3 linked regions of the Caenorhabditis elegans genome follow. The protein of the gene in region 2 purifies or fractionates together with the protein of the main gene of each other region. This does not show direct contact. Each region holds a gene or a part of one and is shown on either strand. Other genes may lie near its edges.

Evidence for each region. Proteins that work in one complex are often made in the same cells at the same time.
Region 1: the proteins of lys-2 (region 2) and snx-3 fractionate together in Caenorhabditis elegans (co-fractionation; one large-scale study listed by BioGRID). This does not show direct contact.
Region 3: the proteins of lys-2 (region 2) and metl-13 fractionate together in Caenorhabditis elegans (co-fractionation; one large-scale study listed by BioGRID). This does not show direct contact.

What each region holds. Positions count from the first base shown.
Region 1 is NC_003279.8:9,062,734-9,066,283, forward strand, and holds snx-3 (Sorting nexin-3), read right to left. Parts: upstream 1,671-3,550; 5' UTR 1,666-1,670; coding exon 1,570-1,665; intron 1,528-1,569; coding exon 1,462-1,527; intron 1,416-1,461; coding exon 1,195-1,415; intron 1,107-1,194; coding exon 1,001-1,106; 3' UTR 545-1,000; downstream 1-544. Other genes in the region: prmt-7 (Protein arginine N-methyltransferase 7), read right to left, coding at 1-57, 110-234, 326-414; rad-54.L (DNA repair and recombination protein RAD54-like), read left to right, coding at 2,354-2,457, 2,872-2,950, 3,024-3,267, 3,311-3,450, 3,550-3,550.
Region 2 is NC_003283.11:10,279,785-10,283,214, forward strand, and holds lys-2 (Lysozyme-like protein 2), read right to left. Parts: upstream 1,691-3,430; 5' UTR 1,661-1,690; coding exon 1,235-1,660; intron 998-1,234; coding exon 584-997; 3' UTR 523-583; downstream 1-522. Other genes in the region: lys-3 (Lysozyme-like protein 3), read right to left, coding at 2,431-2,781, 3,048-3,253, 3,312-3,430.
Region 3 is NC_003282.8:6,633,113-6,638,699, forward strand, and holds metl-13 (Methyltransferase domain-containing protein), read left to right. Parts: upstream 1-1,976; 5' UTR 1,977-1,979; coding exon 1,980-2,065; intron 2,066-2,303; coding exon 2,304-2,529; intron 2,530-2,603; coding exon 2,604-2,815; intron 2,816-2,860; coding exon 2,861-2,972; intron 2,973-3,024; coding exon 3,025-3,143; intron 3,144-3,189; coding exon 3,190-3,327; intron 3,328-3,375; coding exon 3,376-3,562; intron 3,563-3,606; coding exon 3,607-3,778; intron 3,779-4,037; coding exon 4,038-4,225; intron 4,226-4,272; coding exon 4,273-4,417; intron 4,418-4,471; coding exon 4,472-4,716; intron 4,717-4,766; coding exon 4,767-4,907; 3' UTR 4,908-5,043; downstream 5,044-5,587. Other genes in the region: C01B10.9 (Bis(5'-adenosyl)-triphosphatase), read left to right, coding at 1-69, 127-406, 738-858, 905-1,066, 1,134-1,406, 1,518-1,580; C01B10.7 (TransThyretin-Related family domain), read left to right, coding at 5,467-5,559.

The DNA.
Region 1 (3,550 bases), on a different chromosome or scaffold from region 2:
TCACTTTATCAGCTCCTTCTCGAGCAGCCATTAGTGAAAGAAGTCCAGTTCCAGTACCTGTAAATAGTAAACTTTAAAAACCGAATAAGTTGAAAACTTAACAGCTAACCAATATCTAAAACATGAACTTTCCCATCTGTATTTTCATGTTTTTTCTCAGCAATCGTAGTTTTTAATCCTGCGAGGAACTTGTCATTTCTATCAAAATCCAGAATCATATCTCCAAATCGACTTCTGAAAATTAACGTTTTAAAGCAAGAAAATGCGAGAAGTATTGTTTATTAAATTTTATTTCTATGCGGAATATTTTTTTAAAGTTGAAAACCTGGCAAGTTCCTGAGCCATATCATAATCCTCTTCAGCCACAACCCATTCTCGTTCGCCGGTTTTTTGATTTATCTTCTCAAGGAACATTTTTCAGAAAACCCTGCAAATTGTCTATCTTAAAGATATGCTCGTTTTAATGATACACTCAAGATATTTGCGATATGCACACAACTGCCAATTTACCACTTTAAAATCCAAAGAAACGAAATCAAGGAACGGAAGACTTATTTTTCATATTTGTTCAAATAAAAGGGGTTCATGCAATAAAAATAGTGCAATCAATTGGGAAATTGGGAAACTATACACAAAAATGTAAAAATAAATATGAAATAAACAGGAGCCAGAAAATGGAAATCAATGGGAAAGAAGTGGTGATGGGGACAAAGTACACAATTTCGAAAAATACCGCATTTTGGTGGAGGGATGGAAACAATATTTTGATGGGCCGAGATTAAATTGGAAAAAAGCTTCTAAAAACTCACTTTTTGAAAACTAAATATCTCAAAAGATCAGAAAGCGTTACTCATTTTTTGTTATGTAAAAATATGATAAGAAAACATTATCATTTTTTAAAAGTTTCCTTCTGTTTATTGAAACAGACAGCGTTAAAACTATAACTCTGGGTATTTTGAGATTTTTCTCGTGAGCGGAGAATTTAGAAACATTTTAAAATTTAAGCGGTACGAATTTTGCCAGGCACGTAGTTTTTGTCAATAGTTGGCTCCTGGAGGAAAATATGGAGAGAGCGTTCGTTTTGAGCAAGTGGATGTCCAGCAACCCTGCAAGAACATATTATTAAAACTTTTAGAAATGTGAAAATTTTCTGAGTTCATTTTGATGTCCGTATAGTTGAACAGTTTTACGTACTTATTGATGAATAACTCGAGAGCTTTGCGCCTATTTTCAATGAATTCCTCTTCAAAAATTCCATCATCGGATCGGAATGGCAGTTGCCGTTTGAATGATTTTCCTGGCAACGTTGGAACCACAATCTTGCTATCTCGCTCTAGTTCAGCACGAACCCATTCGAAATCACTGTATCGGCGACGCACGCTTGATTCTTTCTGCTTGAAAACGGGGAGATTCGACTGAAACAACGATTTTATTATGCGGTCAGTGTTAATCTATACTTACTCTCATTCTGATTTCGTAATCCGTGTAGCGCATTTTTCCAACACCATGAGTGATAGGATTGATAACCTGCAAGTTATCTTGATCTAATTCATTGATTTTTATTCAAACCTCAATTTCAAGGAAGTTGGCCGGCGGGGCATATGCCTCGTCCAGCGTTTGCCGTTTTGAAGGGATCCGCTGAGTTGCCGACGCGCCGGATGCCATTTGCACTGCAAATATTCTAAATTATATCAAAGTTGCTTTGAATTGTTTATTTAAGTATCGATTTTCACAATATAAACAAAATAAAAGTGAAATTTATGTTGGAATCCAAAGCTTTAATCGACAACATGCGAGAACATCGTTTGCTTTTTGTTTCGCTGTTCGGCAAACTAAAATGGAAAAAATAATATGAAGCTGTGAAAAATCAATAAATAAAACTGGAATTTCAAGGAAATTACGGCAAAAATGACTCATCGCGCGCCGATAAACAAAACGAATCAAGAAATGAAAAAAGTGGCAAAAGTACGCAAACACTTTTGTGTTAATGCACACAAAAAATTCAACCGTACCTCAAACTGAAATTTCAAAAGCAGACACCGCAGATTCATGGAATGAAAAAGCAGTGACTCGCTATGACTCAAAATTTTAAAAAGATTATAATTGATTCAAAAGCAAAAAAATGTTTCACAACAAATCTATGTTGTAAAATAATTGTTAAATTGAAAATTAATAGCTGACACCGCCCTGTGTCCGTGTTTCGTCTTCTTCGAAACTTTGTTTTCGTTCAAGATGGCGCGGCGCCGTTCTTTTTGAATAAAAAGAGCATTTTAAAAATTTTGTTGAATTTCTGTAAATTCTACTTGTTTATTCAGTTGTTCTGCGAAATTAAAGATTTTCTTAGTTTTCAGGAATGCCAAAAAAAACGTTCGAAAATTTAGAAGATAGTCATGGAAAAGATGTTAATATCCCAGTTGAACTGCCAAAAAGGAAACGAGAAGTTACACCGGAAAATTTGTGAGCTTTTATAAAAAATTCAAATTTTAACACATACCGTATTCCCTCTATTAGTCTTGCATGCAAGACTAATAGAGGAAATACGGTAATAGTCATGCACCCCTATTCTTGCCAGGCCAGCAGTATTTTGTCAAAACTTCAAAATTTTCGCCATTTTTTAGCTAAATTAAATTTTAAACTGTTCAAGTAATTGATAAAACAATAGAAAAGCATGTATTTTGCATGATTTAGACTGTTTCAAGTCAAAATTTTGACGATAAATGGCCAATTTAACAAAGCTATTGGATCTTCGAAAATTAGTCTTGTAGCCTCTAATAGTCTTGCAGTCCCTATTAGTCTTGCACCCCTACGGGTCTATTGAAAATTAGTCTTGCATGCAAGACTAATAGAGGAAATGCGGTATATTATTTTCAGACCTTCCACAAGCTCTACTGCTCCAACACAAAAACGGAAAAGTCTAGGATATTCAGGACGAACGGAGGAACCGAAAAATGTATTAATATTTTTAGTTGCAATGAAATACAATTCGGAACTTAATTGTAATTGTAATTTTTAATGTTTTTCAGATACACAAAACCTTCATTTCCCCTTTTTCTACGTCAGTTTCTCCTTCAAAACAAGGTCTTCGACGACGAAAGAAGGCACTGCCTGCCATAGAACCACCTGTATCTGTAGAAGAAGCAAGTCCATTACGTTTTGTGAATATCGATGTATTCTCTAGACGTATGGCTTCCGAATCATCAGATCACGATGCTATGATTGCGAAGTTGTTGTCGAGAAAGTTTTCAATTCCGATGGAGGGATATATGTGTAAGAAAACATGTAAAAATGTTTATTTTAAACGAGTTTTCAGTATCTGGTCGAAGCCTAGGTCTTGGTGGAAACCGTCGAAAATGTGCTCTATTTGATCCATATCATGAAGGTGCATTGATTCTTTATGCTCCTGAACATCTTAGTGAACACGCACAACTCAAGGAAGATAAGGATCGAAAGGTGAGAATTTTAGCTGCGAGAATCGAAAAAAAAACATGAATAAAAAAAACGACTCAAATATTGCAAAAATATGAATGTCCATTTTATCAAATTTTTCAGG
Region 2 (3,430 bases):
AAAATTTATCTACGGAGATATGAGCTACCAAAGTGAAATTCGAAAATTGCTTCGTTAGATCGTTAAAGTTCTTCCTTACAGTGCTATTTTAAGATCTTTGAGAGCCCGCCGTGAGCTTGGTTCTGGAGTTTTGCCGCTAAAAATTCACGAGCAACCGTTTTAAGACATGCACTATCGAATGGCATTGGTCTCATATGCAAGTCCGATGGGCAGCTTCTGACGGTTCCCTAGTCAGCCGTGACTCCAGTTTATCTGAGAGGGTATAGGATAGAATATATTCAATATTACCCGCGTGGAAGGCTTGTTGAACTCAACGTAATTTGAAAAAAAGAAATCATTTGTTCAAAATAATTAAATCTGAAAATTAACATACGAAGATGTTTTTGCACTTTTTAAGTTGCATTGACACCTAACGATAATATGCATTTAATCGCTTTTTACGCATTAATATCAATGTGTTTAACTTTCGTGACTTTTAGACTTTTTCTCTCCTTCAAGAAAATTCTTCTGCCGGCAAAATGATAACAGATGATAACAATTTTATTTGGGAAGAGATCATAAAACCGATAATAAGTTTAATAAATTAGTTTCCGACAAATCCTCCGACAACAATCTTTTCACCATCTGCCATATTGACTTCAGTCTTTGGAGCAGCAGCTGGAATTCCAACAGCATACACGTCACGATTCACAACCAAATTACAAACTGTTTCAACTTGAGCATACTGCTTCACTGAAGCCTTCTTGAATGGGCCGAAAGCACGGAAATCAGCAAAAGTTGGCTTTGTCTCTCCAGAAGTACCACCTCCAAGAACATTCCAATACCAGAGCATGACATTAGAATTGATATTCGCCGAATTTCCAGTAATCTGGCTCCAGTCATATTGGTTTGTGTAAATTCCAACAGAGAGACCATATTGTTGAGCACGGGAAATTATGCTGTTGATAAAGTTGACGTTGGCAGTTGGATTGTTTGGCCAGTTGGCAGGGGAAGTAACCTGGAAAATTTGTAGTTTAGGGAAATAATTATTTAAATATTATGTTCGATTTTCTGAAAGATAAGAAATACACAAACTCGTGAATGCTTGTGAATTGAGAGGAAGTAATGATAAAATACTTTTGAGAAAATTCATAAATAGAGGAGCAACTCTCTATGAAACTGAAACTATAGTAGTACCAGCCTCAAAATGAACTTGAGGGAAATTCTAAATTTAAACTGTGTCTGAACTACTAACCTGAATCCAGACTGATCGGATAGTGATTCCATTATTGTTGAGTCCGTTATAAAGAAGATCAAGTTGTTGGTATCCTTGCCAGCTTGATATTGGCTGAGGAGTCATGTATGTCTCAATTCCCAATCCAGCTGAATAAGCATTTCTGATATTTCCAACACAATTTGAATCAAAAGCTCCATTTCCAGTTGGAACAAATCCACGGAGGAATACAACTTGATATTTTGCTTTCTTCAAACAATTCATTACTTGGACATTTGTTGGAAAGGAAAAATCGACAGCATTTCCCATTGAAGCGTCATTGTTAACAATTACTGGAGCTTCATTTGCTTCGGTATTTGCAATCGCAGCTTGGTTCGAGTCGATTTCTTGTGGTCTCGCAGAAGAGAGAACAAATAGGATAGTAAAAGAAACTAGAAGCTTGATCATTTTACTGATCTATTTCAGTGAAGATAAAAATTGTGGTTTTCCTATCAGTTTATATACAAGACGATGAGCTCTTTTCAGTGCACAAAATGACGAATCTCTCTGAAATAAGATGGGTTTCTTAGTCAGTTGAAAATGTCAACAGTGGTTTGGCTTCATTTTCTGAATTAATGAATGATAATTGATAAGAAGGCAAGAATACCAGTGCAGACTCTCTGTTGTCAATTAAAGTGATGTGATGAAAAAGAGGCCAAAGATAGAGAAAGAAACTTTCTACATGTTCCTTTACACAACATCGTCAGTGAGGATATTTCTCGAAGTTTTAGAACAAAGAGAACAACAGAGAGATGCTTTTTGAAATTCGGGTTTAAAAATGAGAAATTGTAAATAAATTTCAATGGATCCCCAAATTATACGAAATCTAGTGATCCCACCTCAAATGTTGTATTCAGAAAATTTGAAAGTGATTTCAAAAAATTAGTTTCCAGCCGCTGCAACATGGATAAGTTGGACAAATTTCAAATGTTAACTATTTGTAGGTAATTTTTGTTTTCAATATAAAGTTGCATTATGAAATTCGGTGTTTTCAGACAATTTCGAGTCTAATAAAGCAATAAAAATTTCGGCGACACCATTATTAATAACAAGTGTATTTTTGTGTGTTGATAATTTTATCGTTAAAAAGGTTATCGACAATCACATCGGAAATATTTATTTTGTATTATGCTTTCTGGTATCAAAGATTTAGTCGACAATTCTCATTCCTTGGATTCTCAAAATCCGATTCCACCAACACGAATCAATTTCTTCTCCGAACTCGAATTTTCTTGATGAGTTGAGAAGTGTACAATTTGAGACAAGTGTTGGTTTCCGGTGGAATACACATTTCGGTTTACAATCATTCCACAAAGTTTTTCAACTTGTCCAAATTGTTTCACAGTGGCCTGTCTCCATGGTCCAAATGGACGGAAATCTTCAAGAGTTGGAGTAGTTTCACCATCAGTACCCATACTCAGAACATGCCAGTACCACAAGAAAACATCAGAACTAAACGTGTTCCAGCCTCCTGTGATTTCCAACCAATCATAAAATGAAGTGTAGATTCCAACTGACAAGCCCAGATTCTGAAAGTAATAAAGTGAATAAGAAGTTGTTCTTTGTGATCATGATCCATGCTTCGAAAATTAAAACTTCTAAACAGTGTGAGTCAGAAAATGTACATTCCGCTTCAGCAAACAATATTCGTGTATGTGATCAACTTAAATATAATCGTCCTATAAACGTCTCAGGCGTGCCCCACGTTCAGAGGCGAATTTCGCGGAAATTGTTTTACTGTTGTTTTCCATGCATCAGGAGCTTCAGTTTGTCTCGCTAATGTTTGGTAACATACCTTCGCACTTCTAATCATATCTTGGATAAACTCAATTCTCACAGCCATTGGTGCAACCCAATTTGTTGGAGAAGTTACTTGAATCCAGATAGATCTAACATTAATTCCATTAGCAAGCAAATTCTGGTAGACCAGACTAATTTGGTCTGCTCCAGACCTTGTTGAGTTGATGTTTGGAGTGATGTAAACTTCACTTCCAAGTCCAGCTGAAAAAAAAACAAAATGATAATAATAGGATTATTTTGTTTATTTAGTCAATCTTACCTTCAAATGCATTGTTGATTGTATTCAAGGCATTTCGATCAAAATAAGTATTTCCAATTGGATTCAAAGCTCTGACAAATACAGATTTATAACCTTGATCTCTCAAACAATCCATGTCA
Region 3 (5,587 bases), on a different chromosome or scaffold from region 2:
ATGATAATAATTTGGGAGCTGATGTGAATATTATCCTAACAGCTGATCATGGACATGCAGAAATTAAAGGTAATAATTTAAAATAGTTGAAATTAAAATCTTCATAATTCCTAAAACTAAATTCAGATCACAAACATGTCATGTGCGTGAAAGATTATGTATCTGGCGCTGGATTCGAAATGGGTGATCATATGATTTATCCACACTCGGATGAAATTGGAAAACAAATTTATGCAAATTTAACATCAGCAGTGAAAGAGCATGGATATGATGTGAATATTCATTGGAGAGAGGAAGTTCCAGAAAGATGGCATTATCGAAACAGTTCGCGAATTGGAAAAATCGTTTTCGAGCCGCAAATCGGTTCTTCGATTTCGTTTTCGTGTACGAAGGATCTTATGGAAAAGTATGTGGTTTACAACCGGGCTGTGCGGCAAATTTTTCTGGCAAACGTAAACAATAGTAATGCAGAAACAGGTGCATTCTATCTGAAAATAATATTTAGCTTTGTTGAATAATTGGAAAAAAAACCTTAAATATTGCCCGAATGTTGTCATTTGCAGAATAACTTTTAACGGCACTATTTGAGACCTTTGTCAAGTTTTTCAACAAAAACAAATATCATTTTTAGATGGAATGGGACATTTTTTCTTGAATTATCATATTAAAAAAAGGCAGTTTGATCCGTTTACCGGAAAAAATATTACAACGATTAGTTTATTGAAATCAACTTTCAGGCAATATGGAGAAAACGGAACATTAAAATTCAATTCATCAACTCACGGACAAGATCCTGATCGTCCAGAGATGAGAGCTTTCCTTATTATGAGAGGCCCAGCGTTTTCTGAAAATTATACGGTATAAGCTAGGCATTTTGAGAACTGTATGATAAATATTCTTTCAGATTGCCGATATTCCTTCAAATGTGGATTTGTACAATATAATGTGTCATGTGCTTGGTATCACACCAACTGAAAATAATGGAACCATGGAAATTGTGAAACGAGCTTTAAAAGAGAACAGATATTTACCAATGACACATGGTTTCGTATTTAATCAGATTACGGTAGGTTATTCCACAGAGTATTTGACTCAATTCTAAAGCTTATCAAAAGCACATAATTTTTCTTCAGGATTCATGGAGTTTTTCGCTTATTTTAATTCCTTCAATGTGTATTGTTATAATATTCTTCGCTTATGGATGTAAGAATACCGTACTCAAATCTGATCCCAATTGGGGAAGATCCGATACAGTTCAAGGATATCGGCCATTGAGTAACCGGACGAACGAAGGATTCGAATTAAATGATGATGAGGATGAGGATGAAGGAGATGGATTAAGGAATTCGATAGATTTAGAAAGAGGTGGAAGAAGGAGTCAAGCAGGAGGTGGTGCACTTGGAAGTGTGAGTTTTATATTGAAATAATCGGAAAATCAAATATCGCTCGAAATTATTTTAAAGAAAAAATAAATAAAAAATTACCCGAAATGTTCTCAAAAATGTGTAGATTTTCAGCTGAACAATGGAACGGTAGCAATGTCTGGACTACTGGATGAAATGAGCGATGATGATATTTGATCTTTTTAATATAACTTTTTGCATTCAAATTGTAAATATTTCTTGTGACCTCTTTATATATTTCCCCCATTGTGCCTTCGATTTCTCTTTAATTTCTGCAGAATATTCAAATCACAAAGCAAAATATTTATCTCTTTATTTGTCCTAGTCATCCTTTCATCTCTTTTTGATTTTTTTCCCCGGTTGTGGATTTTCAGGATTTTCAAAATCATCCAAAGACAGTTTATCAATTTTCAATGTGATATATTTTCAAAAAAGATTACTTAACTTTAATAATGAATGTTTCTCATATTTTTTACTTCTTAATTATAATTTTATTTTCTTTGGTTTTCATTTAGCCTCATGTTTTATTTCGAGTATTTAAAATGATTATTTTTCTAGTTTCTATAGTTTCAGGCCATGTCCGCTCCAAATGAGCCACAATCTTTCACGGATCCAGCGTACTGGAAGAACTTCTTTGCAAAACGAAAATCTCCATTCGAATGGTAATTAAATAATTATATTTCTTTGTTAAAATATGATGTCTTTCAAACAAAATTAAAAGAAAATTATCACATCACTATCAAGTGTTTTTCAGATTTGTCAAAGAAAAATTATCAATGTTTCGAAAAATAACTTAAAATATTGACCATTTTTCTTCTTTTTAGATAGAAATTTTTCCTCATCAACATACACAAAAATTGAATGCTTTCGATTCTCATGTAAAAATTTGAATTCTTTCAGGTACGGTGACTATAATTCTTTATCAAATGTAATTGATAAATATTTGAAACCGAAAGACACGTTCCTTCAACTTGGATGTGGTAATTCGGAATTAGCGACCCAACTCTACGATAATGGATTTCATTGCATTCACAGTATTGATGTAGAACCATCTGTTATTGCCACACAGATTCGTAAAAATAAAGAACGACTCGGAATGACTTTTGAGACTGGAGATGCTGCTAATGTGAGTTTGGAGAATGTCCCGTTGTGCACAATGAACAATTAAAAGAAAAGAAATTCGAAAATAATATGTTATAGCTATCCATGGCCGATGAAGCACATACCATTGTAATTGATAAAGGAACTCTCGACGCTCTTCTTCCACCATCAGCTTCAGAATCCGATGAAGCATTGGTTACAAAGATGTTCGAGGAAGTTCATCGTGTATTGGCTTCTGGTGGAAGATATATCATTGTCACATTGGCTCAACCACATATCACCGAGTTCTGGATTAATCACTTCTATCCATTGTAAAATATTCATTTTTCTCAAAAATCTGTAAAACGTTATTCCAGAAAGCAATATATCCTACGTGTTCAAAAAGTTGAGAACAAGGCTTCTGGATTCCCAATGCCAGTTTTCTGCTTTATTGCCACGAAAATGCGAGCACCAATGCCAAATCCATTGGTAGGTAGATAAATTGCAAATTATTTTATTTAAATAAAACCTATATTTTTAGCCTCTAGAAGTTCTTCGCTCCAGCTCCATCCGTACTGATCGTATCGATAGCACTGACGAATTGAAGGATTCTATTCGTGGAGAACAGGAGCTCTCACAATTCATCTACCTGTGCTCGAAGTAATTCATTTTAGTTTTTCCCTTGAAATTAATGAAATTAATTTAGAAAGCTGGACTCTGAAGTTTCAATCGACTTTCATGGAGCAGATCCATCATTAGGACCACGTTATCGTATCTGTGTTGTTGATAATCCAGAAGCCAAGAAGATTGACACATTCGCCGCATTTGTGGTTCCAATTGGACGGTTTGTATAGAAAACATTTTTAAATTCGAATTCTTATATTAATTTCAGTGATTCTGAATGGCTATTCGCCTCACCAAAGGGACGAAAAGCTCTTCGTGTTCAATGTGGCCGCGAACGTCTCGCAATCGTTTTCCTCAACAGAAATCAAAAATATGAAAAAGGAATGGACGGTGTGAAGAGTGATATTGGACATTTTGTTGGAATGCTGGATGTTAGACAAGATAATACTGGAAATGTATGTAGAATTGAACACGAAACATATGAAAACCCGATTTTCAGTACGAAATTCTATCCATCGGAGGAGTCGATGTTAAGCGAACCGTTTCAACGGGACGTTCGGATATCAATGGTGGTTGGAGTGTTGAAGAAGTTACTGTTGAAGGAAATCAAACTAGAAGACTAGTTTTTCTGAATACGATGAATCTGGTACAATCTGAAGCTTATCTGAAAAGTTAGTAGTTGAAAATTTCATTTTTCAACCCCCTTTAAAGAGTAAAATGGATTTATTACAACTGAAAAATCAATGAAAACTGAGCAGCAACGAGATTTGAAAATTGCAGTATTGTTTAAAGGCGCACATCCTTCTGTATTATTTTCGGTGGAAAAAGAATAACATTTCCCATCTTGTTAATACACGAGAGGTAGTTTATCAGAATTAAAAAAGAACGGTTTAATGATGCTCACCTCAAAATTTAAAATTAACATTACAGCCGGAAAGAAGAAGCAAACGGTCATAGATCTCGATCAATTGGCATGCGATTTCCATAGAATGATGATCGGATCCCTAGCCATCAGTCCGCAACAACCATTAGCCAAGAATGATGCTCAGTGTAAGATGGCTGTTCTTGGATTAGGTGGTGGACTTTTGACTGCATATCTTGTCAGACATTTCAAAAAGGTATCAATCAAGTCTAGAAACTTAACAGTGCTAAATTTTCGTTTCAGGCTCATGTAACCGCTGTGGAACTTGATCCAGAAGTACTCAAAATCGCAAATTCTCACTTCTCGTTCCCCCATTCGGACGCTAGAATTGACGTTGTCATCCAAGATGCTCTTATTCATCTCCAGGAGACTGCAAAGAAACCTGAAGGTATTTAAAATATCATGTTCAAATTTTATTTTACAAATCAATTCTTATTTCCAGAAGAGAAATACGATGTGATTTTTGTGGATGTTTCTGGAAGTCAGAACGCTGCTCTTCAATGCCCACCATCCGCCTTCCTTACCCCAGAAGCTCTAGGAAATATGAAAAACTCGGTGAAAGAACAAGGAATGATTAGTTTGAATTTGGTTACACGCGATTCGGAATTCGGAAAGTCGATTAAAAAGAATATCGCAGAGTATTTCCCAACTCTCTACACAGTTCTGTCCTTCGAAGATGTTAATGAGGTAAACTAAATTAATTATTGAAATTCTACTAGCAAATATATTTCTTTCAGATTATCATCGGTCTCAAAACACCCAAGAACACAATAAAACCAGTGGTTCCTCAGAAATTAATCAACACAGTTCGCAAAGATATTGGAAGCTATGATGAGGTTGTCGGTGCTATCTCAAACATTCGTATGGTTGATTATTAATTGCACAATTTCGTTTGTTATCTTGTTTATTTTCAGTAATTTTTTATTATATGTATTCGATTGTTCCCAGTTATTCAAATTTTCCCCCGTTTGTTGTTTCGTTTGTTCACCTGATGAATTTTGTTTTACACTTTGCAAACATGTCTAATGTTCTCACGGTGCAGTGAAAAACAACTTTGCAGGAAAAACAACTATTAACAGCATATTCGATATCTCGACGCGATCCTACTGTACTTCCGATGTAGACTATTTGGAATTCCACTAGGAAGTTGTGCAAATTATCTGTATTTGATTATGCGGCCAAAACTATTCTATAATAACTTTGGAACTAAAAAATATTTTCCGTCACAAAATATGAAACTTTTAATTTTTGATCGTCAGTTTTTCTACAAAATAGTATTCATTTTGGTAGTGATCTGTACTGCAGAAATAGATTAATCTCTAAAAAAGTTCAGACAACGAGTAATTTCTATCAAACTGTGTTTTTTAATCTTTTAATTTTTATTTCCGCCTCTCACCGTGCGGTTATAAAATTCATAAGTTCACTTGTGCGGCCATCATGGTTCAAGTTAGTACTGTACTTTCTCTATTTCTATTGCTAATATGTCTAGTTGATTCCAGTTCTGAACCAAAACGTACAATGATAAGAAAGGTAACTAGGGAAATTAAAGCCTTCCAAT